Linked DNA regions of Zea mays. The main gene of each other region encodes a partner of the protein of the gene in region 5 in a complex. Links are inferred from orthologs where the notes say so. Each region holds a gene or a part of one and is shown on either strand. Other genes may lie near its edges.

Region 1 (6,297 bases), about 280 Mb from region 5:
ATACTGATGATTCTTTGTTTAATTTGTAGACCGATCAAAAGTTGCGCCTCTGTGATATATGTGGAGCATTTCTGAGTGTATATGACAAGTAATGCTTCTAGCTCTTTGCATTCCCAAAAATATCTGAAGCTGTCAAATTGAATATTTATCCTAAGCTGAAAATATTGGGTTTTTATTGGGTTTAAAAATTGCACCTTGATAAATCAACCTTGACTTGTGGGTTCCATCGGGCTTTTATCCCTAGCCTACCCCAACTTGATTAGGATAAAAGGCTTTGTTGTTGTTGATCCTAAGCTGAAAATATCTCAACAGTGATCGACGTCTTGCTGACCATTTTGGAGGGAAACTGCATCTAGGCTACATGCTGATTCGTGACAAACAGAAAGAACTTCAGGTAAATTCCTGCATGCCTATGCCCAAAGTAGAAGTTAAACACTGGAGATTTATGAAACAGATTAATACTTCCAAGGTTTCCAAACCTTAAAGACAAATAAAACAAAATTTACATTCTGTTTGGCCATCATCAGAATACGATAATCTTGGTTTATTCACTTATCCTCAATCTAAATCTATAAAGGTGCAATTTATCAGGTGCTGAGTGTAATGTACCGTTTTCTGCTTTAAAGAGTTACTCTGTTTTGGGCCTTTTGGCATCTGTGAGTTTTCTTATCTCAAGAGCCTCAAGGTTCTCACCTTCCCTCTATATATTATTTGATTCTCACATTGCCGGGCACTATGGTTATTACGATAGTCATTACAGGAATTAGTCCATGTCGCGTGATTGGAATCTCATGCGATGATCTTCATACCTATGGCTACAACAGTCACTGTCTGTTGACAAATGTAAGCATAGGAGCGTGCGGACCATGGTATGAAAAAAATCATGTTTACTTAATTGTGACAAACTGCTCATGTGTCTGCTTAGTATCGATTGTTGGGCAGAAGCTGGAGGTTGCCTTTTTACTGCCTGAGCCATATTATGTAGACCAGGTGACAAATAATACTGGTTAAGTTATCCTGAAAGCACACTTCTTTTGCCAACATTTTGCTGTAAGTGACAACTTGTTCTGTTTTCTATCTGCTACCTCCTCCATAAGTTTGCAAGTTACATTTTGCTGAAGCAACCTTGCCTGTAAAGTATCGCCCGCCCTATCTTTTGGAACGTTGTCTCTGATTTTAAATATGCCAAAATATCATTATCTGTACTGTCAATAAACAAAATACACTGTGGCATCTTGCAGGAGCAGAGAAACAAAAGGAGGACAGGCAAAACTGAAGATGATAGGCGGTATGGTATTCTGTATTCCGCATCCTCATTGTTTTAGTCAGCAATCAGCATCATGGTCATCTTATCTGAAAGCATGCCCATTTGGCTCTTTTAGATCTAGAGAGCAGAGCAAGGATCGAAACGGCCCGCCGTCCAGGGATAGAGATTCAGAAAGGAGAGACAGGGTTGAGTCTCGAGATGGAAGAAGAGATTATGATAGGGAACGCGATAGGCGTCACGATAGGGACCGTCGCCATGACCGCGACCGGGATAGGGATTATGACCGCTCCCGCGGATATGACTCAAGGAGAAGAGAGCGTTCACGCTCCAGGGAGCGCAGCAGGTATTGCTGAATAATAGGCACACTTTTTTATTTGAAACCCTTGTGCCTCACATCGTTGACTGACCCAGGTATTTGTTTATGATTTCAGGCGCCATGAGAGATACTAAATGTTACTCCATGGCTGACAGATTTTGGATTGCTGGCGTCTGTTCTGGTTTGTGTTGTGCTTTGTGTCTTATCTTCCGAAGTTTCCTGTTCCTGCTCGAGAAATCCGAAAGCCAATCTGCGTTCTGCATCATGTCATGTCCTAGTGTCGTACTGTTTAGTTATATGCCGAGAACATCTCTTTCATCAAATGAATATTTGGAAACACCAACGCACTTGACGCTAAATGGGAATGAAGTGTGGAGTATTTAAACGCCTCTGAAATCAAATGAAAGTTGTACTTGTACGAATCTCTTCCACAAATTGCACTGTATATGCTTGTACTGTTGCAGATTTACGATGGGTTTGGACTGTTCTCCATCCCCGGAGCGCGCTCAGGCTCGACGCTACCTAGCTACGGACCTTTATTTTTGGTACCTGATGAAACATGATGGTTTTAGGAGGCGCGGTGTTTCTCTGGCGAACGATGGCCGGACGTCCATTTTCGAGAACCACAAGACAAGAAACATATTCAAAAAAAAAAAACTCAACAATCATGGCAAAGGTGGATTCTTGTACAGCAGATTTCTTGTAGTATGGTATGTGAACAAAACAGTGTTCAGGGCCTGAAGGCGGAGGAGGCAACCCGTCTAACTAGACGGCCTTCCGCTGGCGGACCTTGAAGCTGGTGGAGCGGATGACGTCGTCGTCGGCGTTGAGCTTAAGCTGCAGGGCGTCCATGGACTCCGGCTTGGTGAAGTAGGTGATGAGGAGGTAGATGCCGTCGTAGTAGGTGGACGGCAGCCCGGTGCGGCTGTTCCTCTTCCTGATGCTGTATGCCAGCGGGATGACACCGCGGTTGAAGACCTCCACGTACATGGCGCCGCCGGCGACGAGCAGCTGCAGCACAGGAAAACACCAAGCTGAGCTGGATTGGAATGGTACGCAGATGGCATGTGACTGATAACAGCGATTAAGGGCCCGTTTGGAACTAACAAATTGTTAGCTAGGTTAAACCAGCTAATGGACTGATTGTTAACTCACAAATTAGCTGAGTTATTAGGTAGGGGGTGTTCAAACCTCTACTGCTATATATTCAAGCTGTTCACCTGTCTTTAATCCGAAACGGTTTCTTGTCTCTATATATTACCGCCGCAGCATCTGACTTCAATGTGAACAAACTGATTAGCTCTAGACTAGAGTGAGTTTCTAACAGAAACAGTGCCTAACATACATGGTGAATTCAGGATAGGATGGCAATTAACTATGGCGGATCCACTTTTATACGTTTAGAAATCCTAATATTTATTGGATGAAATTCGAAACACTCGGAACCCTTTTAACATTCGTCTCGCATTGCTCAAGTATGATACCAGCCTGTCCAGAAATTATCATCTGTCTGCTCTCTCTGCCATCGGAACAGCAAATGGTAGCGAGATATGCAAGAGGCAGAGGTGAGCCGATCGAGCCGTGCCCGTGTTACGCTGCTCCATCCATCCAGTTAGCTATAGTGGCAGCCAAACGGAGCGGAGGCAAACGCAAATTACCTCCTCGTAGCGCTGGATGAAGGCGAGGCGCTCCTCCTCGGACATGTCGGGGCGGAGCACGACCATGGTCTCGTACTGGCGGAGGCCGGGTGGGCAGGGCGGCATCTCGCGCTCCTCCAGCGCCAGCGCGGCTTCCGCGGCCGACATCCCGAGGCCGCCGCCGCCCAGCCCTAGCCCCGGGCCGAACCCCGACTCGTAGCCGACCTCCTCCTCCTCGTCCGCGCCGCCGGCCGCGGACATCGCCGAGCCGCCGTAGAAGGACGCCGCGTACCCAGTGGAGACCGCGCGGGGGCGGGCGAAATGGGAGGGGGCGGGGGAGGGGAGGCGAAGCAGCATCGCAGCGGGCGGGCAGGAGCGGAAGGGCGGCAGCGCGGCGGACGCGGATGCGGAGGAGAGCGGCAGCAGTGCCATGGGTGGCGGCATTGGAGGGGCCAAGGGGAGCCGAGCGGCAGGGGGGCGACGAGCGCGAGCAGGACAGGAGCCGGAGAGCGGGAGGAGGCGCTGACGCTGTTGGCGTCGCGTCCACTCGATAGATAAGGATAGGACGCCACGCCCTGTTTGGAGTTTGCACGGATTTTCATATTGGTGGAAAAACGGCCGGGTTGCCAGTTAAACCAAAATTGTTTACAACGTTAACTTTGTGTGTATTTCAACTATATGTAGTTATGCATTTCTTCTATGTTTTATGTGTATGATTCTTTTGTTGTCATATACGCAGCATGTATGTTTTCCTTTATTTACCCATAGAAAAAGTATAAATTATTCTTTTAATTATACTAATTGATTATCTAAGTTTGCTGTCCAAAGATTTAGGCAGCTAAAATACAATATCAACAGCGGACCTATATTTTTTTAAAAAAATCTCGAACAGTTGAATTGACTAAATATAGAGTAGACCTAATCTTCTCTGTATACGAGATATAAGGGGCCTGTTTGGTTCAGTTTTTTTCTGACCAGCTTTTCTGAAAATCTGGCTGTAAGGAGAATCTGGCTGTGGGGAGAATCTGAGTATCATTACGATTACGTGTGGAGGAAAATAAAGTTGTTCATAGGACTCAGGATCTAGAAAGTGATGAATTCATACTATTACAACGACTTAACCGATTATGTGTTTATATTGATTTTGGATGGTTTTTGTCCCAACGAATTTTATAGAAGCTGGCTGAAAAGCTGAGCGTTTGGCAATCCGCAGCAGCTTTTGGTGGCCAGAAGCTGCTAGAATCCGAAACAAACAGGACCAAGATAAAAGATCTAGTGAATTTGAACACCGAAAAACTTTGTGTGAAGGTCTGAAGACATTCTATTGTAGGTCAATTTGACAGGACTTCGACTCTACTTTCTCACGACTTCTTAAAGGGGCCAATAGCCGAAAACAACTCCTTGTAGAGCTCAAAAAGTCAAAGTCATTTTTTATAAAAGAGACACGATGCTGAAATATGGCTTTTATTTTTGGATTTTTTAAGCTTTTGCTCCAAGTTTTGCTGGTGTTCTCATTTTTACCCTTAGTCGTGTTTTTTTACTTAGTTTTGTCCTTCTAGTGTTATAGAGTAGTAGGGCAAAACTAAGAAAAAACACGACCAAGGTTAAAAATAAGGAATGAAGCAAAACTAAGGGTACAAATTTAAATAGCCCATTTTTTTACTTACAAAAACTTCAGCTTCATAGAAGGTACTCTACTGACAATAAAATAAGGAGCTAGAGCCCTTCTAAAAGGAGCCATATCAAATGAAACAACAGTATGAGTTTATTTGAGATTCACTAAAAATAATTTAAATTTTTGAAAAACTTTGTCAAACGATCTAGATCCACTAAATTTATATTTACCAAAATGGGGGATCTAAAGGCTAGATCCACTCTCTTGGTGAAGCTTCTCAATGGAAGCTCCAACAACATAAGTTTGATAGAGTTGAGAAAAGTTATCGACCACTACCATCGATTACAGTCCAATTCTTTCTAATTTTTCCACCTCTCTTCTTCTCCCGTCACACATCTTCTCTCTTCTAGCGTCGCTTTCTTCACCATGACATCTCCTCCCATGGCGAGCCCCTCCCTCGTTGTCTACTCGTGCCCGCACCATCGCTGGTCGGACCATGACCGTGAGGTCAATAGTGTGTGCCCTCGTTGGCTGGCAGCGCGAGCTTCTAGACTAGTGATGCACACTCCTTGACCGACTGGCCACCCCACCCCGTTTGGTTGTTTAGGTCAATCTTTGGATTATGCTGATGAGAGCACCTAGAGGGGGGTGAATAGGTGATCCTGTGAAACTTGAAAACTTAAGCCACAAAAACTTGGTTAATCGTTAGTACAATAATTGCCAAGTGGCTAGAGAGGAGTCAAAACACAATAACCACAAGAAATCAATCACAGAGATGACACGGTGGTTATCCCGTGGTTCGGCCAAGTACAAAACTTGCCTACTCCACGTTGTGGCGTCCCAACGGACGAGAGTTGCACTCAACTCCTCTCAAGTGATCCAATGATCAACTTGAATACCACGGTGTTCTTCTTTACTTTAATCTTTTCCCGTTTGTGAGGAATCTCCACAACTTGGAGTCTCTCGCCCTTACAATTGAATTTCACAAAGAAGCACAGAGTAAGGGAGGGAAGCAACACACACAAATCCACAGCAAGATGCGCAACACACGGTCAAGAATCGAGCTCAAAAGACTATCTCAAAGTTCTCACTAGAACGGAGCTCGAATCACTGAGAATGACAAACGAATGTGCAAAGACTGAGTGTGGATGATCAAGAATGCTCTAAGGTTGCTTGGATGTCTCCTCCATGCGCCTAGGGGTCCCTTTTATAGCCCCAAGGCAGCTAGGAGCCGTTGAGAGCAAATCTGGAAGGCCAATCTTGCCTTCTGTCGTCGGGTGCACCGGACAGTCCGGTGCACACCGGATACTGTCCGGTGCCCGATCTCCTTCCTAAAATGGCGCAGCCGACCGTTGCGGATCTGGGAGCCGTTGGCGCACCGGACATGTCCGGTGCACACCGGACAGTCCGGTGCCCCCTTCCGACCGTTGGCCCGGCCACGTGTCGCGCGCAGATTCCGCTG
Region 2 (5,105 bases), on a different chromosome or scaffold from region 5:
AATAAGAAATGCAAAATGAAGAAAAGGGCACCTAATCTCACCTCTTTCTATACCATAAAGAACCAGAGATTTAAACCCTTTTTTTTAAAAGAAAAAGAAGTGTGTAGAGATTTATCTACTTACTCTAGAGATTTATCTACTTACTCTAGACTAAAGACTAAGTAGATTTTTAATAAATATTTACCCCAATCCATCTCAAAATATTTGTATCAATATCTATTCAGTAGATCCTTTTTTTCTGTGCCAGGAACCAGATTTGAACTGGTGACACGAGGATTTTCAGTCCTCTGCTCTACCAACTGAGCTATCCTGACCCTTTCTTGTGCATCATCTTAGTAAAGTATTTGCATCTATGTCAATTAAAGGGACTAAAAAATCAATAAAGTATTCCATTCAAAATTAGGAAATGGGAGGGGTTAGTCCTATGCATTGTGGATGGCTTACTTAATAATACTTAAAAAAAACGAATTAATAATCGAGATTCCTTGCCGATACTCTACTCTAATAAATAAAAAAGAAATAAAAAAGAAATCATCTATTTAATGAATAGCATAAGATTCATTGAGTTCTTGTCGCACTCCTTTGTGAAAGAGTAGAATGAGAAAGCTAGTGAATCTTAAACCCATTGATAAAAGAAAAAAAGGATAACAACTATGGTTAGGGAATAAAAGAGGGTTTGGGGATAGAGGGACTTGAACCCTCACGACTTATAAAGTCGACGGATTTTCCTTTTACTAGAAATTTCATTGTTGTCAGTATTGACATGTAGAATGGGACTCTCTCTTTATCCTCGTCCGATTAATCCACTTTTTAAAATTAAAAGATCTCGAAAACAATGAATTGAAGGATTTGATTACTCAATATTTGATTGGAATAGATTCACAATAATTCTAAAAAAAAATTATGAATTTTCTATTTCATAATCATTCCTAATTTCATTCTAAAAATAAAATAAAGAACCTATATTATAATATGGGTTCTGTGATTAATCGTTATTACTTCGATTCGTTAGAACAGCTTCCATTGAGTCTCTGCACCTATCCTTTTCCTTTGGGTTCTAGTTTGAGAACCACTTGTTTTTCAAAAAAGGGATTTGGCTCAGGATTGCCCATTTTTCATTCCAGGGTTTCTCTGAATTTGGAAGTTACCACTTAGCAGGTTTCCATACCAAGGCTCAATACAATCAAGTCCGTAGCGTCTACCGATTTCGCCATATCCCCATTTTACTTTTCTTTGAAACCAGGATTCCTTGTATAATTTAATCCATCTCTTAGTTTTTTTTGAATCATTGAATTCATTATTCGACGTAGTCTAGCAACTCATCTCTATTTGAGACACCCCGCTCGCTTATTGCAATTCAGAATTGCATTGATTTTATCGTTGATATATTTGCAATTCAATCGGAATGAATATATCCAAAAGTTTTTCTCTCTCCCGCCTCCCTCCTTCCTTTTTTAGAGTATTCCAAATCATACTATAACGCTTGATATTCATTCTTTTTTTCTAAACTGAATTAGAAATTTCATTTGCTATGATTCTATCTTCTCCTTAGTGAACTATTTATCCTTAAATTATTAACAAATAAAAAAACAAAATATCTCAAAAATGTATATAATGATCAAATGAAAATGCCAATCTCTTGGCATTTTCTCTTTATTATATTATTCATATATATTCTTCTTTTTCTTCTTTTCTATGTATTAGATTATTCCTCCGAGCCATATCAAATTGAAAATATCTGAAATCAAATTCAATATAGAATTTGGAATAGATTCTATTAAAAAAATCCATTTGCGAATTAGAGAAATAAAAAGAAAGTTCAATAAATTCTATAATCCTATTTAAGAATATCATTTAGTTAAGCATATCAAGCTAACTTTATCTTTATGAAATTCTAGTATTTTTTTTTTTCTATCTAAGTGGAACTTCCAATTTAGAACTAGTTAATAACTAAGATTAATAATTAAGATCTGACATTTTACAGATTCCCTATATATATATTTTTATTTGTTACACTATTTCTGTTATGTAAGCCCACTTAGCTCAGAGGTTAGAGCATCGCATTTGTAATGCGAGGGTCATCGGTTCAAATCCGATAGTCGGCTTTTTTTTCTATCGATGTTCTATGAACAAGAATTTCTCTTTTTCTCCGAATAAAATGGGGAATCAGGGTCTATTATGTCGTTTTACCTTACAATTTTGCTAGATACAAAGCATAAAAATAAATAATATATATACAAAAAATCCAGATGTTGATGAAATTCCATTTTTTGTGTTACTCCATTTTTTGTGTTACTTTAGTAGATTTTACTCTGTTTATCCTTTAGTTTAATTCTGTTTGAATTTCGCTGTATTCTGTAATGTAAATAGAACGAAATTTATTGTGTAAAATGAAATTTCAATAAAATAAAAAAGGAGTCTTCATGTCCCGTTATCGAGGGCCTCGTTTAAAAAAAATACGCCGTCTGGGAGCTTTACCAGGACTCACTAGAAAAACGCCTAAATCCGGAAGTAATCAGAAAAAGAAATTCCATTCTGGGAAAAAAGAGCAATATCGTATTCGTCTTCAAGAAAAACAGAAATTGCGTTTTCATTATGGTCTGACAGAACGACAATTACTTAGATATGTACATATCGCTGGAAAAGCAAAAAGATCCACAGGTCAGGTTTTACTACAATTACTTGAAATGCGTTTGGATAATATCCTTTTTCGATTGGGTATGGCTTCAACCATTCCTGGGGCCCGACAATTAGTTAACCATAGACATATTTTAGTTAATGGTCGTATAGTTGATATACCAAGCTTTCGTTGCAAACCCCGAGATATTATTACTACGAAGGATAACCAACGATCAAAACGTTTGGTTCAAAATTATATTGCTTCATCCGATCCGGGCAAATTACCAAAGCATTTGACGGTTGACACATTGCAATATAAAGGACTAGTAAAAAAAATTCTAGATAGGAAGTGGGTCGGTCTCAAAATAAATGAGTTGTTAGTTGTAGAATATTATTCTCGCCAGACTTGAACTTAACGAAAAAAGGAAAGGTTCATAGAATTTTTTTCCCCTTCCCCTTTCCCCGAACTAAATCGACCTAAGGCTCTTAATTCGTATTTTCCCGTTCACCTAGCAGAAATAGATTAACCCTAGGATACTTTTTTCTTTTTTGTTATTTCCTCGATGTGTATTTTACATACCACAGTAATTTGCTATAGAGAATTTCTATTAATTAAAGGTATTATTGTTGGAATAAATTGTTATTTAATTTGATACATTGTGATCGCTAACATTGATGAATTAAGAGAAACGGAAAGAGAGGGATTCGAACCCTCGGTAAACAAAAGTCTACATAGCAGTTCCAATGCTACGCCTTGAACCGCTCGGCCATCTCTCCTACATAATCTTATTATGGAAAATAAACTGAGTGAATAGCGAGTTTTCGTATTCCTGCAGTACAGGTACAGCCACAACGGCTCGGGAATTCCATGGCTCTATTGGATTGGATGGAAAAATTCCTTTTCATCTAAGTGGAAGGATCCTGTATTTTTTTACTAGGAATTCTGCTCCCTCGAAAAGTTTTTCTTTGGGGAAAACCAAAATAAAAAGAGAATGGAAGAATTCTTCTTATTCCATAAGAAAATAAAGGAACCCTAGAATTCCATTTGCATAAGGTACATTACGCCATACAATCTAAATATAAAAGGGGTATGGGGCAATTAATGACTTTGAAAACGCGAAATAGCTGATGAGGGAAGTTGTTGTTGAGAAATAGGAAAGTGGAATGAAATTCCAGTCTTAGTCAAATATTTCATATCTCTTCTTCTCTTCTTGTCCAAACAGAGGAAAAGGAGACAATTTGAGCTGAGCGGAAAATCCATATCTCTCTTATCCATTTAGAGCATATGGATCGATTTATAAGAATCGAATGTTTTGTTTTTATGTTATTTTGTGATAGAATGAAAAGAATTCTATATAGAATGGGTTGGGAATTATGCCTAGATCCCGTATAAATGGAAATTTCATTGATAAGACCTCCTCGATTGTAGCCAATATTTTATTGCAAATAATTCCGACAACCTCCGGGGAAAAAAGGGCATTTACTTATTATAGAGATGGTGCGATTTGACTCTTTTTTTTTTTAGCCCTACCTATATCTCATTCTTACGAGAAAGAGAGAGGGTTCGCATAGAGAGAACAAAATTAGTAAAGGAAACCCGCGCTTGGGGAAGGTGAGGTGAACTAACAATTCCTTCTGTCGTGTATCCTCGATTGATGTGGCCTCAGATGCTTCAATTGTAGATTTGAGTATTGAGCGAAAGGTTACACCTACAGGATAGGTTCTGTATTACAGGGCAATCCGACTCTACTAGTACCAATAGGCAGCATAGGGGAGAAAAGCACTACACCACGAAATAGGAATCAACAAGAGAAAAACTTTGTTAGAAATTAGCCCTTTCCTGATTGGTATCAGGGTTGGGAAGAATGGTTGGGATAACAAACAACCATCAGGTTTGTACTTTGGATACCCTTATAACCATCAAAGGTCGTTGAAGTGGCTAATTCCTCTAAATAGGAGGCGTTGAGAACAAAGAAATTCTTGGAGCTATCGTTTTCCTCTAGCATTAATATAATTCATTGGTGTTAAGAAAAACCTCTTGGGGGAAGGTTGGCTAGAGATTTCTTGGAAAAATACCAGCCCCCTTCGGTCCATAATGAGATGGGACTAATTCGATTTTTATTCTATAGATTTTTCGCTTAGTACTATGTATAGAAGGGAGAAGCCGTATGAGATGAAAACCTCATGTACGGTTTTGGAACGGAGATTTTTTGAATAGAATGAACGACCGTAACGGATGTTGGCTCAATCCGAAGGAAATTATGCGGAAGCTTTGCAGAATTATTATGAAGCTACGCGACTAGAAATTGATCCCTATGATCGAAGTTATATACTATATAACATAGGCCTTATACACACAAGCAATGGAGAGCATACAAAGGCTTTGGAATATTATTTCCGGGCGCTAGAACGAAACCCCTTCTTACCGCAAGCTTTTAATAATATGGCCGTGATCTGTCATTACGTGCGACTATCTCCACTATAGA
Region 3 (5,181 bases), on a different chromosome or scaffold from region 5:
AGCCGGATGATGAAAAATTCTCATGTCCGGTTCCTTTGGGGGATGGATCCTAAAGAATTCACCTATCCCAATAACAAAGAAACCTGACTTAAATGATCCTGTATTAAGAGCAAAATTAGCTAAAGGGATGGGACATAATTATTATGGGGAACCCGCGTGGCCCAACGATCTTTTATACATTTTTCCAGTAGTAATTCTAGGTACTATTGCGTGTAATGTAGGTTTAGCGGTTCTAGAGCCGTCAATGATTGGTGAACCGGCGGATCCGTTTGCAACTCCTTTGGAAATATTACCCGAGTGGTACTTCTTTCCCGTATTTCAAATACTCCGTACAGTACCCAATAAGTTATTGGGCGTTCTCTTAATGGTTTCTGTGCCAACGGGCTTATTGACAGTACCCTTTCTAGAGAATGTCAATAAATTCCAAAATCCATTTCGTCGCCCAGTAGCTACGACCGTTTTTTTAATCGGTACTGCAGTAGCTCTTTGGTTAGGTATTGGAGCAACATTACCCATTGATAAATCCTTAACTTTAGGTCTTTTTTAGTTTAGGGATTTTTCGAGTTGATTCATTCCACCGCGAAGTCCCCTGCATGGGTATCTAGGAAATAGTTACTTCCAAGTGAATCTTCCCTAGATACCTAAAATCTATTTTATTATGATCCATTTCGCGAAAATATAGATTATGCCAAAGATGCCAAATTGCTTTCTTTTTTCTTTTTATTCTAACTCAAAAAAGAAGAAGAGGAAAAAATTGCAATGATTTAAAGCGAGAACTTGTTCTTAGGTAAATCAATTGGGAGATGCTTCTCTAGAGTGTCCCATATCAGTTTTCCATCTTCCATACGAAAACTATTAATTTGCATAAGATCTTCTTCAGTCTTACTCAAAAGGTCCAATAGTGTATGTATATTGGCCCTTTTGAGACAATTATACGTTCTAGAAGGCAATTCTAATTGATCAATAAAAATACAATTCAATGGAATTCCTTTTTTGTTTTTCTTTAGATTAGTGAATCTTTTTTGAAAGGTTAAAAGGGGTGGAGTTAACCTGTTTTTATTTTCTTCGAAACTAGTGCCCTCTTCCTCTGTGTGTAGAAAAGGAAGAAATAAATCAATCAAATTACGAGAAGCTTCATAAAGCGCTTCTTTAGGAGTTAAACTTCCATTCGTCCATATTTCTAAAAAAAGTATCTCGTGTTTTTCATTTCCATTCCCACAAGAAAAAATACTATAATTCACATTTCGAACAGGCATGAATACAGCATCTATAGGATAACTTCCATCTTGAGAGTTCTTTCTGAGTTCCGTATGATATGCGCGATCTCTCTTGATCTGTAACTCAATACAGAAATCAACGGGTTCTCTCAAGTTAGCTATAGGTTGTGTCGTATCAACGATTTCTACGGAAGGCGGTAAGATTATATCTTGAGCGGTTATGTATCTAGGACCTTTGACGCAAATTGATGCGTCTCTAACTCCATAGAGATTACTTCTCAATACAATTTCTTTCAAATTTAGTAAAATTTCTTGTATGGATTCTTCAATACCTACTATTGTGGAATATTCATGTGGCACGTTCCCAAATTTGGCGCGTGTGATACATGTTCCTTCTATTTCTCCAAGTAAAGCTCTTCGCAAGGCAATACCGACAGTATCCGCTTGACCTTTTCTAAGCGGAGACAGAATGAAACGACCATAATAAAGACGTTTACTATCTACTCTTGATTCAACACACTTCCACTCTAGTGTTTGAGTGGATCCTGTTATCTCTTCTCGAACCATAACAGACTATATTATTTGATCATTGAATCGTTTATTTCTCTTGAAAGCGGTTTCATTTTTTTTTACAGACGTCTTTTTTTAGGAGGTCGACATCCATTATGCGGCATAGGTGTTACATCGCGTATACAACTTAACCGTACACCACTTTTAGCAATGGCTCGTAATGCGGCATCTCTTCCGCTACCAGCACCTTTTACCATAACTTCTGCTCGTTGCAAACCCACTGTACGAATAGCATCTACTGCTGTTCTTTGACCAGCATAGGGTGATGCTTTTCTTGAGCTTTTGAATCCACAAGTACCTGCGGAGGACCAGAAAACGACCCGACCTTGTGGGTCTGTAACGGTTATAATGGTATTGTTGAAACTAGCTTGAACATGAATAATCCCTTTTGTTATTCTACGTGCACTCTTCCGTAAACTAAAACGGGCATTCCTACGCAAACCAATACGCACTTTCTTACGTGAACCTATTTTTGGTATAGCTTTTGTCATATTTTATTATCTCATAAATATGAGTTAGAAATAACAAAAAGAAAAAAGATACAAAGATATCCGTTTCAGGTTAAAATATATCCTTTACTTTCATTTTTTTTATTTGCAATTTGGGCATTTCCGTGGGTACTTTTTACTTTAATTAGAAAGAAAAGCTATTAGAAAGAAAAGCTTCTTTTTCGAAAGATTACCCCTGTCTTTGTTTATGCTTCGGATTGGAACAAATAACTCTAATTCGCCCACGCCTGCGAATCAGTCGACATTTTGTACAAATTTTACGAACGGAAGCTCTTATTTTCATATATGGGTATTCCTTTCTTAAACTATGAATCTATTCTTTTGGAAAAAATAAGTCTCTTCACTTAAATTTTGAAACTTGGAAGTTATTACCCCAGAAAAACCTAATCCTTTGAATCTTTGGTATCCTTCAAATCTTCAGTATCCTTCGAGTCTTCGGTACGCTTCGAATCCTTATGGGGAAGTCTATAAATTATACGACCTTTGCTGGAATCATAACGACTTATTTCAATTTTGACCCTATCCCCCATCAGTATTCGTATAGAACTAGACCGGATCTTTCCTGAAATATAGCCCAGGATGATGGTGTCATTCTCTAGGCGAACGCGGAACATTCCGTTGGGTAGGGCTTCCGTAACTAAACCTTCGAAAGTGACTTTTGCTTCTCTCGGGTTTTTTTTTTCTCTACTATTTTTTTTTTCTGTCATATATTTTTCTCCTATTTTTCTATTTTTATTTTCAAAATAGGAAGTTCGAGATAGAATTTGGGTACTATAGGTGGGGCCATTACCATATATAACATAAAACTTCTCCCCCAATTCTGTTTAGTCGAGCTTCTCGATCTGTCATTATACCTCGAGAAGTAGAAAGAATAGCAATTCCCATTCCGCCCAAAACCTTAGGAATTCCTTGATAGTTGGCATAAATTCGTAAGCCAGGTCGGCTGATACGCTTTAAAAAGGTTCTAGTTCTATATATTCCCTTTCTAGTCTTTCTCCTTTGATGTCGCAAAGTTGAAACCAAGAAATATCTGTTACTTTCCTGATGTTTCCGAACACTTTCAATAAAACCCTCTCGTAGAAGTATTTTAACAATGTTTTCGGTAATATTTGTGGATACTACTCGAACAGTTCCTTTTTTATTCATGTCTGCGTTTCTTATAGAGGTTAGTAAATCAGCAATAGTGTCCTTGCCCATAAGACTCTAATTCTAGGTTCCTCCTAATTTTTCTATAATCAACATGTTTTCCCTTTTCTTTAAATTTAGGATTTTAAAGCATATACGTGAGACAAAATCTACTAATTTTTTCTTTGATCTATATCTCGTCTACTAGTATTTATAATACTTCAGGAGCTAATGAAACTATTTTAGTCAAATTCAATTCTCTTAATTCTTCGGCAACCGCGCCAAAAACTCGAGTTCCTTTTGGATTTCCTTTTTGATCAATGATAACTGCTGCATTGTCATCATAGCGTATTATTATACCGTCGTCGCCTTTGAATTCTTTACGTGTACGTACAATTACAGCTCGAATTACTTCGGATCTTTCTAGAGGCATTTGGGGCACTGCGTCTTTGATTACAGCAATAATAACATCACCAATACGAGCATATCGCTGATTACCAGCGGCTCCTATGACTCGAATACACATCAATTTTCGAGCTCCACTGTTATCTGCTACATTTAAAAGGGTCTGAGGTTGAATCATATTATTTGGATTTCCATTTGTTATTTCAATGCAAAAGGATGAAAGAAATATTGTCTTTCCAGAAAGAAAAACCAGGGGTTTTTTATCTTCAATATTCCTTTTTGGGGTTCTATATCTCTAATCGAAGAAATTGACTTCGTATGGGCATTTTACTGGCAGCTATAGAGATAGCTGCTCTAGCTACAGTTTCGGATACTCCGCTCATTTCATAAAGTATTCGACCTGGTTTAACAACGGCTACCCAATATTCGGGGGATCCCTTTCCCGAGCCCATACGTGTTTCTGTGGGTCTTATTGTAACCGGTTTGTCGGGAAATATACGCACCCATATTTTTCCACCACGACGTGCATATCGTGTCATTGCTCTTCGTCCTGCTTCTATCTGTCTCGCGGTGATCCAAGCGGGTTCAAGTACTTGAAGAGCATATCTACCAAAACAAATATGATTGCCTCGGCAGGATTTTCCCTTCATTCTTCCTCTATGTTGTTTACGAAATCTAGTTCTTTTGGGGTTATAGTCGATGGTTCCTTCTTAGTTCCATCTCTACTACAAAACTGGACATGAGAGTTTCTTCTCATCCAGCTCCTCGCGAATGAAATGAGAAGCGTGCGAATGTCATTTCTCTAATTCCATAATATTCAAAAATATTATAGATAGATACACATCAATATATAATAGAAAAAGTTAGGTTTTTTTGATTTTGACTTTCTTAAACTTAAAAAAGAAAAATTAAATATATAGTCAAGAAAGAAGATCTAGAATATATCCAAATTCAATATTTATATAAAATGTAATCCTTCCTTTTTTGGAATCTCCTTTTTTTTTATTCTTATTGAATCGTGGTAAAGTATTCTAATCCAATAAGGATTTCGCGGGCGAATATTTACTCTTTCCTGTCTTATTTGTTAATTTAGAACCTTATCAAATAAAGCAATTTTGTGGTTTGTCCGCCATCCACCAATGAAGTGTTAGGATTCTTTCAATAAATCCTATGTAGTCATAGGTTTTGTCGTTCCCACAGCTTCTCCTTTAATGGTTAGGTTTGAATCCTGCAATGGAGCTTCCAATTTTTTTTTCCGAGTCAATTTTCTCAGTTTTATTAACCCGGCTGCTCTTTATTTATTGCTTTATATTTTTATTTGTTGTTTCAAAAGTCAAGTTACGATGAATTCTCTC
Region 4 (6,723 bases), on a different chromosome or scaffold from region 5:
ACTGTACTGTCCACAGATCGGAGTTTGAAATGGAATGTGTGGACAGAAATCTGGTGGCCTAGCCTAACGATTCGTATAGGTCTGAGAGACTCGTTCAGTTGTAGGATTTGTGGATTTTTTTTAGATCCGTACAGGATTGTGCTGTCGTGTGCCCGCCAGGGGCTTGGTGGTTGCCAAAAGGTGATGCCTCTGATCGGTTTGGATATGGGATTTGCTTACTTTTTGCTTCGATTTTATACATACATATAGTGGTATGCATCTGCTCGTCCTGTTTCCAGTTGATGAAACATATTCTCCTGCTAGCAAGTTTTATACAAAAATAGAGGGACTAGTTTTTATATGGTTGTTTCAAATTATATATAGCCTGTTTGTTCAATCTAAATATATTTGCCTGTTGTTTCATGGCTACTAGAATAGATGCTGGACGCATATACATCTAGGACAGTCAGATATGTAAATCGTTTAAAGCTTTGTGCTAGTCTAATCTTGATCTGTGGTTCCTTTTAGTCATGATGTTTATGCCGATACAATTATATATAAAGCAGTTTTTGGTTAATAAACAGTAAACTTCCTGAATTAATAATTAAAGTTTATTTTGTATTATTCAGGATGGCCTCCTGATTTGATAATGGAAGTCATTTTGTATTATTCAGTATAGCCTTGGTACCTGGTAGATAGCCATGCTTATTATGCATATTGTTTTGCAGATGAGCTCATCAAGAATGCTGCCTACATTGGCACCCCCGGCAAGGGTATCCTTGCTGCTGATGAGTCCACTGGCACCATTGGCAAGCGCCTTTCCAGCATCAATGTCGAGAACGTTGAGGAGAACCGCCGTGCCCTCCGTGAGCTCCTATTCTGCTGCCCTGGTGCTCTCCAGTACATCAGCGGTGTGATCCTCTTCGAGGAGACCCTGTACCAGAAGACCAAGGATGGCAAGCCTTTTGTTGATGTCCTCAAGGAGGGAGGCGTCCTCCCTGGCATCAAGGTTGACAAGGGCACCATTGAGGTTGTTGGCACTGATAAGGAGACCACCACCCAAGGCCATGACGACCTTGGCAAGCGTTGCGCCAAGTACTACGAGGCAGGTGCCCGCTTTGCCAAGTGGCGCGCTGTTCTCAAGATTGGCCCTAATGAGCCATCACAGCTTGCCATCGACCTGAACGCTCAGGGTCTGGCTCGCTATGCCATCATCTGCCAGGAGAATGGTCTGGTGCCAATTGTTGAGCCTGAGATCCTTGTTGATGGCCCTCATGACATTGATCGCTGCGCTTACGTCACTGAGACCGTCCTTGCTGCCTGCTACAAGGCGCTCAACGAGCACCATGTCCTCCTGGAGGGTACCCTCCTGAAGCCCAACATGGTGACTCCAGGCTCCGACTCCAAGAAGGTGACCCCTGAGGTGATTGCTGAGTACACCGTCCGTACCCTCCAGAGGACCGTCCCTGCTGCTGTGCCTGCTGTTGTCTTCCTCTCTGGTGGACAGAGCGAGGAGGAGGCCACCCGCAACCTCAATGCCATGAACAAGCTCAGCACCAAGAAGCCGTGGTCCCTGTCTTTCTCCTTCGGCCGTGCCCTCCAGGCGAGCACCCTCAAGGCCTGGGCTGGCAAGGTGGAGAACCTGGAGAAGGCTAGAGCTGCCTTCCTCGCCAGGTGCAAGGCCAACTCTGAGGCTACCCTCGGCACCTACAAGGGTGATGCTGCCGCCGACACCGAGAGCCTCCACGTCAAGGACTACAAGTACTGAGTTGCTTCTCTTTGCGTGCCCGTTTTGGAACTCCTGCCTACGAGCTAGGTTGCGGAGTGTGGTTTGCTCGTTAGAGCTTATTTTCGGACATCCAAAAAACATGCTTCCTATGTGGGATGATGGTTATCTTTATATTTGTATGTTAATTAGTCTCTTTGCTGTTAAATTTCGTGTAAGTTGGTCCTGCCGATGGAGAATCGAGCAGCTCCCTTTTTTTGTTCTATCAACTATGCTGTAATTCTGGCTATGTATCGGCAAAAACAATTCTATATGCTGAGTTGGAGTCGGCAAAAATTCATATATGCTGAGTTGGAGACAGCAACTTGTTTGGATCATATTTTGCTGAGACACTCGTGAGAGATTGGCATAGCAAGAGACCTGAAAGTGTTAGCTGAAGTTTGAAACAAAACTTACATCATTGCAACACATATTAATAACACAACACGATCATTAGTTCAGCACGCAAGATCTTTGCACATTGCTGACGTATGAATAAATCGCTAGTTGGATTTTGTTTTACCTGTTAGGGCTGGATTGTTCGGTTAGAAGAGGATTGAAAGAGATTAAATCTTATTAATCCCCTTACAAATGAAACGTGTAATCTCTCCGTTACCACTAGATGAATCATTTAATATCTTCTAAAAAAAACTTATTTCGACACAGTTTCATTTTGAAGAGAGTAAAGAACTCAGCAGCTGGAAAGGAAAATAAAGAACCCAGTCAGTAGTAGGAACATTACTAGCCAAATGAAAGTGTGGCAGCCTACCCATCGATAATTATAGGCGAGGAAATAATTACTTAAAATATGTAGTATTTGATTTGGTACAAACTAGGCCAATTAAGCTCAGGGCAAATATAAAGCAAGGCAGAACTCGGACAACCTATTCCAGGATGTCCTCGTCAATCTCGATTGAAATGATCTCCCCATCATCGAACTGATCCTTCCTTGGAGGAGCAGGAGGGGCAAAGAGCCGCGCAGGCCCAGTTCCCTTCTTCTTGTTGCGCGGCCTCGCCTAGACATGATCAGACAGCTAAATAAAACAGAACAGGGGGAAAAAACCAAAAATGCGATGTAAATTGTGCTGGAGCACTCACATTGCCATATGAATGGTTGAACCTTTTGCCCCTTTTCGTTTTCTTGTCCCCTCTCCCGCAGTAGACTGAGCAAGACCAGATAAAGTTTAAAACTGTCTGTCAGTCCACAGGATCATCAGTATTGATATAAACAGAGGCCAAAAGGGACAGCACCCCAGTTGGGTTCGTAGTACAATCAGAGAATAAAATCCTGAAGCAGGCTATGGACACTAGAATTTCAGAAATTGATTTCAAATTATGATTAACTAAAACTTCTTTGAAGTACACGCATGAGAAGCATCCATCTTTGACTCTCTGTATTAATAAACCAGAAACAAGTGTTTACAACAGCTGAGGCCAGTGGCAACAGAGACGACCAAAACTATAGGCGGTAGTGATAAACAAGAGATTCAGCTTCCTTGATTGGCACTCACTCCTGACACCGTGTGAAGTGAATCAGTCAACCGGTAAAGGTTTAATAATCTACTACAGTAGTAGTTTTCAGTTCATATATATGCTCCTGCTCCTCGATACCGTAATTTTTTCGTGTGGAACAACTTAAGCTCTTAAGAATCCAGTTTCTAGAAACTAGTTTATAAAAAAAAAGGTTAATGGTGTTTAGAATCACCTTAATTTTTATAAATTGATTTTAGCTAGAGAAGACTAGCTTCTTGGTTTTTTAAGAAACTAGGAATCCAATTTCTATAAATTAGTTTGGAACCACGTCAATTTCTATAAAAAAAACTAGGTGCTTCCAAACAGACCCTTAGGCCATGTTTGGAAGCAACCTAGTTTTTAAGAATCTAGTTTCTAACTTCAGTTTCTATAAAGTGATTTATAAAAAAACTGGTTAATAGTTTTTAGAACCACCTCAATTTCTATAAACTGCCTTTAGCTAGATGGGATTAGCTTCTTGGTTTTTAAGAAACTGAGAATCCAACTTCTATAGACTGGGACAAAAGCTAGTATATTTGGAACCACCACAATTTTCATGAACCAGTTTGTTAAAAACTGGATGCTTTCCTTGGTCAGTCTAGTTGACCCAGATCGACTAACAGCATCACAACCTCCATCTCTTCTGGGGAGTACATTTCAGTAATAAATCCCTTGACTATTTCATAAAAAGAAGAAAAATCCCGATTGAATTGGAACGAATTTCCCAAGTGTCAGTGTAATAGTAGTCATTGCCTTTTCTCCCTTATTGCGTGGAAAACAGTAGCCATTGCTCGTGACATGTGTTAGAAAGAAACTACTCCTACATCGGACAAAAACAAGGGGAGTGAGGAGGTAGCTGTTTAATTACCGTCAAGAACTGGAGTGACGGTGGCCGACAAGACGGCGCCGACGGCGAACGCAGCCCGGGCGCGGGGGAAGGCGGCGGAGGCTGCGAGCGCGTAGGAGGAGGTGGAGACGTAGGATGAGACGGCGCCGTGGTTGTGAGATGGGAGGGCCGCGGCGGCGGTGGACATGGCCATGCCCTGGACGGCGAGCAGCGCCATGGGGGCAAGAAGGAGCGAGCAAGCGCAGGGAAGAGAGACTAGTGTGCTCGGGAATGGTGGTGTGGTGGATCAGGTTGGATAAGGGATAAAAGGGCTCGCAGTTGGAGCCACAGCGCACATCTAAGATGGGCTGCAGGGCTGGTGTGGGCTGGGCCAGAAGTAACCTTATCGGCCATTACTGTAAAGTATGGTGCACACACCTAGCCAGGCCGTCGTCGAGTCTGGTCAGGTCTTGGATCCTTTTCTTTCTCTTTCTTTTTTTTGATAATTAATATAATTAAGATGACCAAAGCTTAGCTTTGATTCATGCTAACAGAAAACAAAACCCTAGATGCTCCAGCGTCGTTCTCCGGCCCGTGCTTCTCCTGCTGAGTTAGGGTTCTGGTCCTTCTCGAATCTCGATTTCGGCGGTGGACTGGTGGAGGCAGACACTTGAACCCATGGTGGCCGGCCTCACGGCACCACCCGTGCAAGGTGCCAGCTTTCCGGACTGGATGAGCTCATGGCTTGTGCATCAACAAACCCTGAGGGTAGGGTGAGCGTCAAGGAGCGGCCCCGAGCTGTCCCCCACCCCCGTGCAGGCAATTTTCGGTCCTGGAGCTGGAGTTAGTAGTATTTGGGAGCGTGTGGCTGGAGCGATTCCAATTCATTTCAGCAACCGAAATACCGAATGGAGGAGTTGCCAAGGTCACTGTCAGGCACTCACCTGTGCACTACTGTACAGCACAGATTGAACGGTCGCTATCAGGTTCATGTCAACCGAGCAGAGTTTCAGTTTCAGTGCCCAATCATGAATAAAAAACCGATGGCCAAAATGTAGTGGTGGGAGAACGCCTCAAGCAAAGTGCCTTGCACGGAGTGGAGACGGTTCGATGGCATGACCTGACCACATGTGTCTTCTTTCTTCTGGAACCTCTAGAAGGAGAGGAACGGATGAATCCTCAACAACGCTCACGATTATGAATGGTGCAGGTGGCCACGAGAATTGAAGACGATATATATAGAGCAGAGAAGTAGAGGCCCCCTGATTTCTTCATTCTGAACAGTCCGGCAATTCGCCAGACGAGAAATGTCAAGCTAGTATATTATATATAAAACCCGAGACATTTTCCTTCTTTATTTACAACCATTACAGCGAGCAACGCCACCATGCAATAAAGCCAGCGCAACGGCGTGGCATGCCCACGAGAGTATCGTCTGTTGGTCGGCAACGGCTTCGCTTTGCCAACTCGATCCGCAGAGGATGGTCGGCTGCGGGTAACCCTTGTCGCTTGTACGCCGCGTCTTCTTCCCAGACCCCCTTCCTCTTCCAGAGCTTCAGAGTGGGGGGTGGGGGGAGGAGCCTTGCTAGACTAGGTAGTCGTAGTAGACCAGCAGCATGTTGTCGGGGACGATCAGGGGCAGGCTGTCGATGAAGCTGAGGAAGTGCTTCACGTTCTCCTTCTCCAGCGTCACCGTGTCGATCACGTCGTCGTCGCCGGTGAGCACCCACAGGTCTCTGGACCGGACCCTCTTCAGGCTCCCGCGGCAGAACGGGCATGACTGGGACCTTGTGTACCTGCAGTCACGGAACATCCAGGTTACAGCGTTCAGCATTGGTGTTGCTTGGAACAGTACAGGATGGGGTCATTAAAACAGTTGGGGATGATCCCTCTTATCGCTACAACAATAGATGGGCCCAGTGGTCACCAAAAGAATCTACTGCAATAACCAATCCCATTGAGTTTATCCGTAATCTAATCTAACTCAAGCAACATTATTGTGAAAGCTACTATTGACTTCGCCAAACTTGGAGTGATGCAGCCGATTGATGAGTATCATTGAAACCAACAACCTGACATGTATCAAAACACAATGACTTGCAGATGACATCCTTGGTACACAAGCATGATCCGCCAGCTAAGAGAATACAATCATTTAGGATTTAGAATGCCACGTCAACGAGTGTCTCCCCTTTTATCCCTTTATTATTTTTTTGTCTGTAACTTAGCAGTTGGCTGGCACTGGTGAATAATGGTTTAACGACTTCATTAAAGCTACAACAGCACTCCCAGTTGTCTGCTTTCGATTCCGTTAATGGACCATTGCTAATTGTTGACGAAACGTGGGGGCTTTTTAACAACGGCGCAAAGTATCATAAACTTTGTCCAGCAAATCTCTGGCATTCAGCTGGACTGCTGGAGGAATGAAGATAATGAATCTCCTGACATGGCACATGGTCATTAGATCACATAAAATCCCTCCTAGTTTTGACAAACAGAAGGCTGAAAAATATAGAACAAGAAACACATGGACTCCCATGCCATCATGGTGGTAAAAAACAAATAGAAGAAACTCCGCACATGAGGGGAGCGAAGATTAAAATGGAACCCCCCTCCCCCCCCCCCCCCCCCCCCCCCACAC
Region 5 (6,971 bases):
GCTTAACCTCAACATCCACACCGGCAGGGAGCTGGAGTTGCATCAACGAATCAATTGTTTGGGCAGTTGGATACATGATATCAATCAGCCGCTGATGCGTCCGGATCTCGAAATGGAACCGTGAGTCCTTGTGCACGTGAGGAGAGTTAAGCACACAATAGACTCTCCTCTTAGTGGGCAGAGGAACGGGACCCATGGTCTTTGCGTTGGTTGTTTTGGCAGCTTCGATTATCTTCTTGCACGAGTCCTCTATCAACGGCACCCAGTAGGACCGCAGCTTGATTCTGATCTTCTGCTTGGGTGCAAGCTGAGAACAGATAACATTCATAAAAAGTGTTATTAGTCGTTGAAAGATAGCAACTTCTGCATGCAAACTGAACAGTGAAGAAATAAAAGCATGTGTTTGATTTAGGGTAAGGGTCATATAATGTTTAAATATGTTTCCAAAAGGCAAAATAAACCTTATAACACTTCAATTACCTGTACAACACTTCAATTACCTGTACGACAAACATGTAGTTGCTAGGAATCAAGACACCTTGATGTTATCAAGTCAATTAAGGTCAATTTGTGAAGGCAAGCGCATGCTTTTGCACTATATATATTGCGTGTGTGTTGGGCGGAGAGGAGGGATATTGTAATGTTCTGGAAAATAAACATGCTCAATAAAACAGTCCTCCAGCAAAATAGGCTATGTCGTGGCTATGTTTGTTTCCACCTACCATCATCCAGATTTAGTAAATTTCAGTACAATTGCAGCTAATTCAAGCTGATGTGATGCAGGCCAAATATTGTAATATTATGAAAAACATAAATGTTCAATAAAACAGTTCTTCACTAAAATTAATATATCAAAAATATTGGGGCAAAAAGGGTATGTCACATGGCTGCGTTTGTTTCTGCCTACCCTCATCCAGTTTAATAAATTTTCAGTACGGTTGCAGCTAATTCAAGCTGATGAGTTGCACATCTATGATCAGCTCTTTCGATAATATGCCATTCATGGTTGCTTATATACTTATCAAACGCTAGAGCATCCTCTGACGGCACAACATCGTCATTAGCACCATGTACTGTCAGCACCCTGCAGTTTGGTCAATAGACATGCATGCAGATTGCAGAGTGCCTGTCTTAAGACCATCCATCAGACTTTGTCTGGTCACACGGTAGATGATACTCCTATTTTGTCTTCCACATCAATGAAACCATGCTGATTAATCCTTTCCATGTAATCATTTACGGAATGATCTCCAATTCTACGTTCCAGCTTAAACCTTCCAGAAAGGTTAATAGCTTTAGATATACCGTGAATTCGTGATACATGGATGTATAGAGGATAACCACATTTTCTCCTTTACTGTGGCCAGCAATAGCATGGGTGTCACGTTTGTGTTTTTGAAATGCAGGATCGCATCACATAAAACGTCCACTTCGTTATAGTAACCTTATCCAAAAGTACCTTCGCTTTCTCCATTACCAGAATAATCAAAACACATATGCTGACATTTTCTGATGTTAATGCATCAGCGAGACTTAACATAATTCTACCTTCCTTTGATGATCTAAATCTGTGACACAACACTACAAGGCCCTTAGATCCAGCTTCATGCAAAACACCAACAAGTATCTCTCCGTATCTGTTTATTATCACCATTTCCTCTTGTGATACATCTAAAGAAAATAAGAATCACTATGGGAGGATCCCAACTGTGCACAAGGCCTTGTAAAAATTTCGTTTTCAGCACTTCCATACAACAACTGCAGACAAATATTTACGATGGACATGCTTAACAAGCAGAACTGCAGAAGCATGAAGCAAAGTAAACATAAAACTACAAGGAGTAGCCTCAATGACAGATTATACAGTGTTAGCTCTATTTAATTTTACTACTTAATAGCCATTTTGGACATGGATCTTCAAAACACACCTTTGTCCTGTTTACAATTTGACCATTTCCATGTGAGAAAAGTAAATAAGTTTATACAAGTTTAAAAGGCTGAGCACACACATTGACATTATATATTTTAGAATGAAGGAAGCATCTCAACTCGACTCCAACAGTTCAATGACAGTACCATGGAGGTTCCTAGGGAGACAAGCAAGAGGAATTGCATAACTTGTCAAATTGTAAACACAACAACACAGTTAGATATTGCTAACTGTTCAGGGGAACACACTGACTACCACAGTGGGCGCAATTACAGCGAGGTAAAGACAATAAGGAATTCATGGTCCATGGTTGCTGAGCGCTTGAGACAACTGCTGTCTTTTTTTTTTTTGCTTTCTTTCGATGGCCAAATGATACTAGGCTTCAGTCATGAGTCAGTATGTCACAGCCTCACAGGCCTAAATATGGGCCACCATGTCGGGCCTAGTGGCCCAACTGAGGCCCAACACCAGGCCCTGATGAGCCGCGGCCTCTACTGCCCCTAGAATCCCTCCCGCACTGGAGAATCCGGAATAGATGGAAACTCAAAGGTAATCTTCAATAAGCTTGGAATAAATAAAATATAGCTTGTTTAGAAAATAATGATAGAGTTTGTTTAAGAAAGAAGATTGGTTTGTTAGGAAACAAGATTACAAATCTATAAGAATGATGCTTGGGATACAAGTCCTATAGGAACTATAAATAATTAAATATAGGGGCAAATAACTATTTCAGTCTAAGCAAGAATAGAGTTATTGCTCCCTCCCTCCCTCTCCCTATGCTGCCCCTCCCCCTCTCCCACGCCGTCCACCATTTTTCAAGTACGTCAAATAATTCCAAGGAGGAACAGAGCATTAATAGGCAGAAAACTTTGAAAGTTTGATCCAGCAAGCTTTCAACTGCTAAGTAGAATCTGGAAAGCTAAACCACCATAGACCCTCAGATATCCTCATTCTAGTCTGATAGGAATGATTTAAAGGACAAACGAAATGAATTTCCCACATAGTCTCTTCAATCATGTGCTGGTAACTATGCATGGCTTAAGCATTAAGGATGCTAAACTGTCTAACGTGATATGGACTTCTACAAAAACATACATTTTTGAAGTCCAAGTCACACTCACGTTAAGAACAGTTTACACTAAGATTAACGGCTTAAACGAATGTGCTGACTGATATTGTCTAGCATCATTGCATTGCGTCCTGAACGATTTCTAAATGCCATTTACACAAATACCCAGAGCACATCGTGCTCTCCATTTATTGTGATTAAACAATCACAAGTAAAATGTGCACTGCTATGCAGCAATAAAAGAGAAACATGTTGTATGGTTTATGGTTATAACTTTTCACAGTTCATTCGATCAAGGAAGCAACAATATCAGAACAAAAGATTCGGTAACATAATAATCTGGGAAATTTTTAACTGCTATGGAAGGTACCTGCTCCCCATCATCCCCAATCGACGATGGCAACGGAATTCCCGTTCCTGCCCCTTCCTGAAAGCGCGAGGTTAACAATTTTAGTCACCGAATGAACAAGGTCTAACGAGTGTGCCAACTGAACCAATGTCGCCATGTAATTGTAACCCCCATAACCAAGCGGTACACGCCATCATGAAATTCGCAGGTTTTGGACTCTGCGTGTGCGAAAAGACACGGCAATATCAGTTCAGTCACGTACCGGTGGCGCGTCGGGGATGCCGTCGTCAGAGAGGGTCTCTGCGGGCGGTGCGGCCGCGGCCCGGGAGCGGAGGGACGCGCCGCGGAGGGAGGACGGGAAGGAGAGAACCGAGGGGCTAGAGTTTGCGGTGCAGCGATGGAGGAAGAGGAGGGGGAGCGGGGAGGAGGTGGAGGTGGGGACGGCCATGGCGAGGGGAGGGGGGGTGAGGAAGCCGTTTGCCGCGTTGGGTTTTGGAAGACCTCTGCTTCGCTATCGCGGTGTGTTATCCGGTTCCAGGGGCATTTGCGCTCGAGCCCCTCCAGCTTTGTTACTTTCAAAGCGAGGTGTCTGGTGGCAAACATGGGCGAGTTCTGTCTCCTCTAGCATTACTTTCGAAGAAGATCATGAATGATTTGTTCGGAAAGGAAGATCGTGGAATTGGATATTACTGTGACCTCAGCTAAAAGTGTCGATCTGGCTGGCATAAACTTGATCGTTTCAAGGAACAATCAGTTACCTTCTTCTTGCCTGGATAGACTGTCCATACCAGCGCTCAAATAGGAGAAGCTACATTCACAGCTCCTGGCACGAGGCAAAAGAAATACAGAATGATGAGCCATAGAGGTGGCCAAACTAACTCTACTACAGACATACATCTACAGAGCACCAGCTATTCACTTCCCTTCTTTATCCCGGCCATCACCACAATCCCCAGCACTCCTTTTTCCCAATCCCCTTGAGAGCAGCTACAAGATCTAAGCCCGACTGCTGCCCACGAAGCCTTGAATATGATGGAACGGTTGCAGTAGCAGCCCCCCCCCCCCCCCCCCCCCCCCCCCCCCCCCCCCCCCCTGGTTAAGCTGCCTGCTGGTGCTGGGAGATGGAACTGTATTTGATTTGTTCGACAATCGATCACCAAAAGTTGGTTTCGCTGTGATGACTGTTCTATCAGAATTCATAGCACGTGATGCCTCATTAAGGTTGAATCCATGAACGTTCGTCTTGTCCCGATCAGATTTAGGAGAGGTTGAGAAAGGGGAATTTGGTGACTTCTGTGAGAGCAGTAACCTTACAGATCTCTGCCAGAGTTTTGCGCTTGTCCTCAAGCTGACAAACATGCCAGATTTAGCAGCAGCAGATAAGCACTTATTAACAACCACCTCACCAATATGAGCTGCAAGTTCCTTAAGAGTCGACATACAATATTTCAAAAACGGAGATTGGTTTTCTGCATAATGCTACAGTAAGTTCAGATCATCTGACACCTGAGCAAATTTATTCACCTAGAGCAAGCTGCAAAAATCGGGGCATATGAATAGCTATTGAGTTGCTGTTAAGTGGTTGACTCAGTTTCAGAGATTCGCCAAGCATTTTGATGCATTTTCCTATCTCTTTTGAGGAAGATTGCTAGGTGTAGAGATTTCCTGTTCACATAGAAGACAGAAGGTGAATTGGTTGTGATTGATAAAATTAGTGTGACATGAATAGTATACCAAGTTTCAGATATTTGCCAGGTACTTTTAAAGTTCTTTCCTTTCCTGCTATTTTTTTCTGAGGAAGATTGTTAGCAAATAGATTTGTTGGCTATGTAGCAGAGAGAAGATGACTCAGTTCTAATCAACCAATATAGCATTAAATGAAAATACATTCCACACAAAGTGTTTGCGTAACAAAGACCGAACATAACCGAGCTGACGATCATTCGGTTCATTGGCTGGCAACAAAGCATCTTTAAAATCGTTTGGGGTGAATTCAGGTATTCCCAACGGGGTTAAAGATACCCTAATAAGTATTAGCTACAACGTCAGTCTGCGTATAGTGAGGTAACTAGATTTTTTTTCTTCCATCAATGTTAATGGGAATCACAACATCATGTCCAGCACACATATACTCTAATAAATATGGATAAAGGTGAATACATAGTCATCGAAACAGGCCATAAATGTTTTCGTTGGAATTTTTCATGATTCCATTCCGAGGAAAAATCGATGGGGGGTGTGTTGGGGCGAAGGCAAAGACGCCACCCTTCGCTCGTCGCCTTTCGCTGCAGTCGCTGGTTTGACGAAGACAAAACGGGCAGGGACACCCTTCGCTTCATTCAGCACCAGACGAAGGCCTGCGGTGACGTCTCCCCGCAGCACGGCTTCGTCCTGCTCTAAGGCCCACGTGTGATCTGGCCCATTGTAACGGGCCTCGCGTGGCCGCCTTTGTGTTACGGGCCTAGTTTGTAAAGGCATTCTTGTAAGTACAGCTTGTAACCCTGCTTTATGGGAATATTCTGGGGATAAACTAGGTGTCCGAGGGCACATGCGTCCTTAACACAAGGCGCTGGGCACTCAGATACCTATAAATACCCCCGCACAGTGCCCGTGAGAGGCTAGATTAACAGAGCCATTTGCCCCCGAGCACGTAACCCTGTTGTCACCACCGTTCACCCTTGTTGGCCTCCTTGCTACTGAGAGCAAGTTCCAACATTTGGCGCCCACCGTTCGTGCTACGACAAGACCACCCGCGATGGCACCCAAGAGAGCTAACCCGAAGGCTGACGAGGCTGCGAAGGCAGCACTGCTGGCCGCGAGAAAGGGCAAGGCCCTCGCCCTCACCCAATCCACCCACCAAGAGCCCACTGAAGACAACATTCCCCGCACCTGCGAAGACAACATTTCCCACACCTGCGAAGACGACACCTTCCGCACCTGCGGGCCCGAAGGACAATCGCAGCCGCCCCCAGGCTTCGCCCCACTGGAGGGCGCGGATCTCACCGAGGACGGCGAGGTCCTCGGCGTCTCAACAGAAGAACAGTTACAGTTGTGCGCCCTGCGCCTCAAGAACCGCAATCTCCAGAGGCAGAAAGAGATACTCGAAGCCAAGCGCCAGCGTGTGTCCGCACTAGCCAAGGTGCGGCAAATGATACGCGACGAGGAGCAGAAGGCCCAAGACCTCGAGCGCGAGATCGCGCTGATGCAGCGCGAAGGCCACCTCGGTCTACAGCAAGAGCCACCCCTCCAGCAGCGCGCGCAACCGGAAGACACGCGCTAAGGCCACCTCGGCCTGCAGCATGGCCCACCCCTGCAACACCGGGCGCAGCCGGAGAACCCGCGTTTCCCCCAGCATGACTACGCCTTCCAGCACGGCGCGCCATTCCAAGGGGTCAACTACCTCGACGAGCGAAGTCCCCTGGCGCCACACCTCCAAGTGACGCCTTGGCCAGCTAACTTCCGAGCAGGGGCATATCCCAAGTACAACGGCAGCACCGATCCGGCGCAATACATAATAAGTTATCAAGTCGCCGTTGCATCCGCCGGAGGGGACCACGCCACAATGGCGAAGTCTTTCATCATCGCCCTAGAGGGCCCAGCACTCATCTGGTTCACCAGATTGC

What was found.
Region 1: 30S ribosomal protein S10, chloroplastic (region 5) and 30S ribosomal protein S6, chloroplastic-like share a complex: the UniProt entries of both Arabidopsis thaliana proteins name them as parts of the 30S ribosomal subunit. The link is inferred for Zea mays from reciprocal best matches to the Arabidopsis thaliana genes AT3G13120 and AT1G64510.
Region 2: 30S ribosomal protein S10, chloroplastic (region 5) and rps4 share a complex: the UniProt entries of both Arabidopsis thaliana proteins name them as parts of the 30S ribosomal subunit. The link is inferred for Zea mays from reciprocal best matches to the Arabidopsis thaliana genes AT3G13120 and rps4.
Region 3: 30S ribosomal protein S10, chloroplastic (region 5) and rps11 share a complex: the UniProt entries of both Arabidopsis thaliana proteins name them as parts of the 30S ribosomal subunit. The link is inferred for Zea mays from reciprocal best matches to the Arabidopsis thaliana genes AT3G13120 and rps11.
Region 4: 30S ribosomal protein S10, chloroplastic (region 5) and 30S ribosomal protein S31, chloroplastic-like share a complex: the UniProt entries of both Arabidopsis thaliana proteins name them as parts of the 30S ribosomal subunit. The link is inferred for Zea mays from reciprocal best matches to the Arabidopsis thaliana genes AT3G13120 and PSRP4.

Annotation. Positions count from the first base shown.
Region 1 is NC_050096.1:303,986,519-303,992,815, reverse strand, and holds 30S ribosomal protein S6, chloroplastic-like, read right to left. Parts: upstream 3,780-6,297; 5' UTR 3,665-3,779; coding exon 3,242-3,664; intron 2,595-3,241; coding exon 2,349-2,594; 3' UTR 2,225-2,348; downstream 1-2,224. UniProt on the Arabidopsis thaliana protein: Binds together with bS18 to 16S ribosomal RNA.
Region 2 is NC_001666.2:45,081-50,185, reverse strand, and holds rps4 (ribosomal protein S4), read left to right. Parts: upstream 1-2,423; coding exon 2,424-3,029; downstream 3,030-5,105. Other genes in the region: photosystem I assembly protein Ycf3, read left to right, coding at 3,994-4,117, 4,854-5,083. UniProt on the Arabidopsis thaliana protein: One of the primary rRNA binding proteins, it binds directly to 16S rRNA where it nucleates assembly of the body of the 30S subunit. With S5 and S12 plays an important role in translational accuracy.
Region 3 is NC_001666.2:75,406-80,586, forward strand, and holds rps11 (ribosomal protein S11), read right to left. Parts: upstream 2,279-5,181; coding exon 1,847-2,278; downstream 1-1,846. Other genes in the region: petD (cytochrome b6/f complex subunit IV), read left to right, coding at 73-547; rpoA (RNA polymerase alpha subunit), read right to left, coding at 765-1,784; rpl36 (ribosomal protein L36), read right to left, coding at 2,466-2,579; infA (translation initiation factor 1), read right to left, coding at 2,680-3,003; rps8 (ribosomal protein S8), read right to left, coding at 3,083-3,493; rpl14 (ribosomal protein L14), read right to left, coding at 3,633-4,004; rpl16 (ribosomal protein L16), read right to left, coding at 4,114-4,515.
Region 4 is NC_050098.1:170,388,039-170,394,761, forward strand, and holds 30S ribosomal protein S31, chloroplastic-like, read right to left. Parts: upstream 4,379-6,723; 5' UTR 4,321-4,378; coding exon 4,125-4,320; intron 2,908-4,124; coding exon 2,843-2,907; intron 2,761-2,842; coding exon 2,629-2,760; 3' UTR 2,416-2,628; downstream 1-2,415. Other genes in the region: fructose-bisphosphate aldolase, cytoplasmic isozyme, read left to right, coding at 708-1,747; putative RING zinc finger domain superfamily protein, read right to left, coding at 5,668-5,878.
Region 5 is NC_050096.1:24,107,556-24,114,526, reverse strand, and holds the start of 30S ribosomal protein S10, chloroplastic, read right to left. Parts: upstream 3,915-6,971; 5' UTR 3,797-3,914; coding exon 3,611-3,796; intron 3,427-3,610; coding exon 3,370-3,426; intron 3,364-3,369; exon of another isoform or gene 314-3,363; intron 308-313; coding exon 1-307.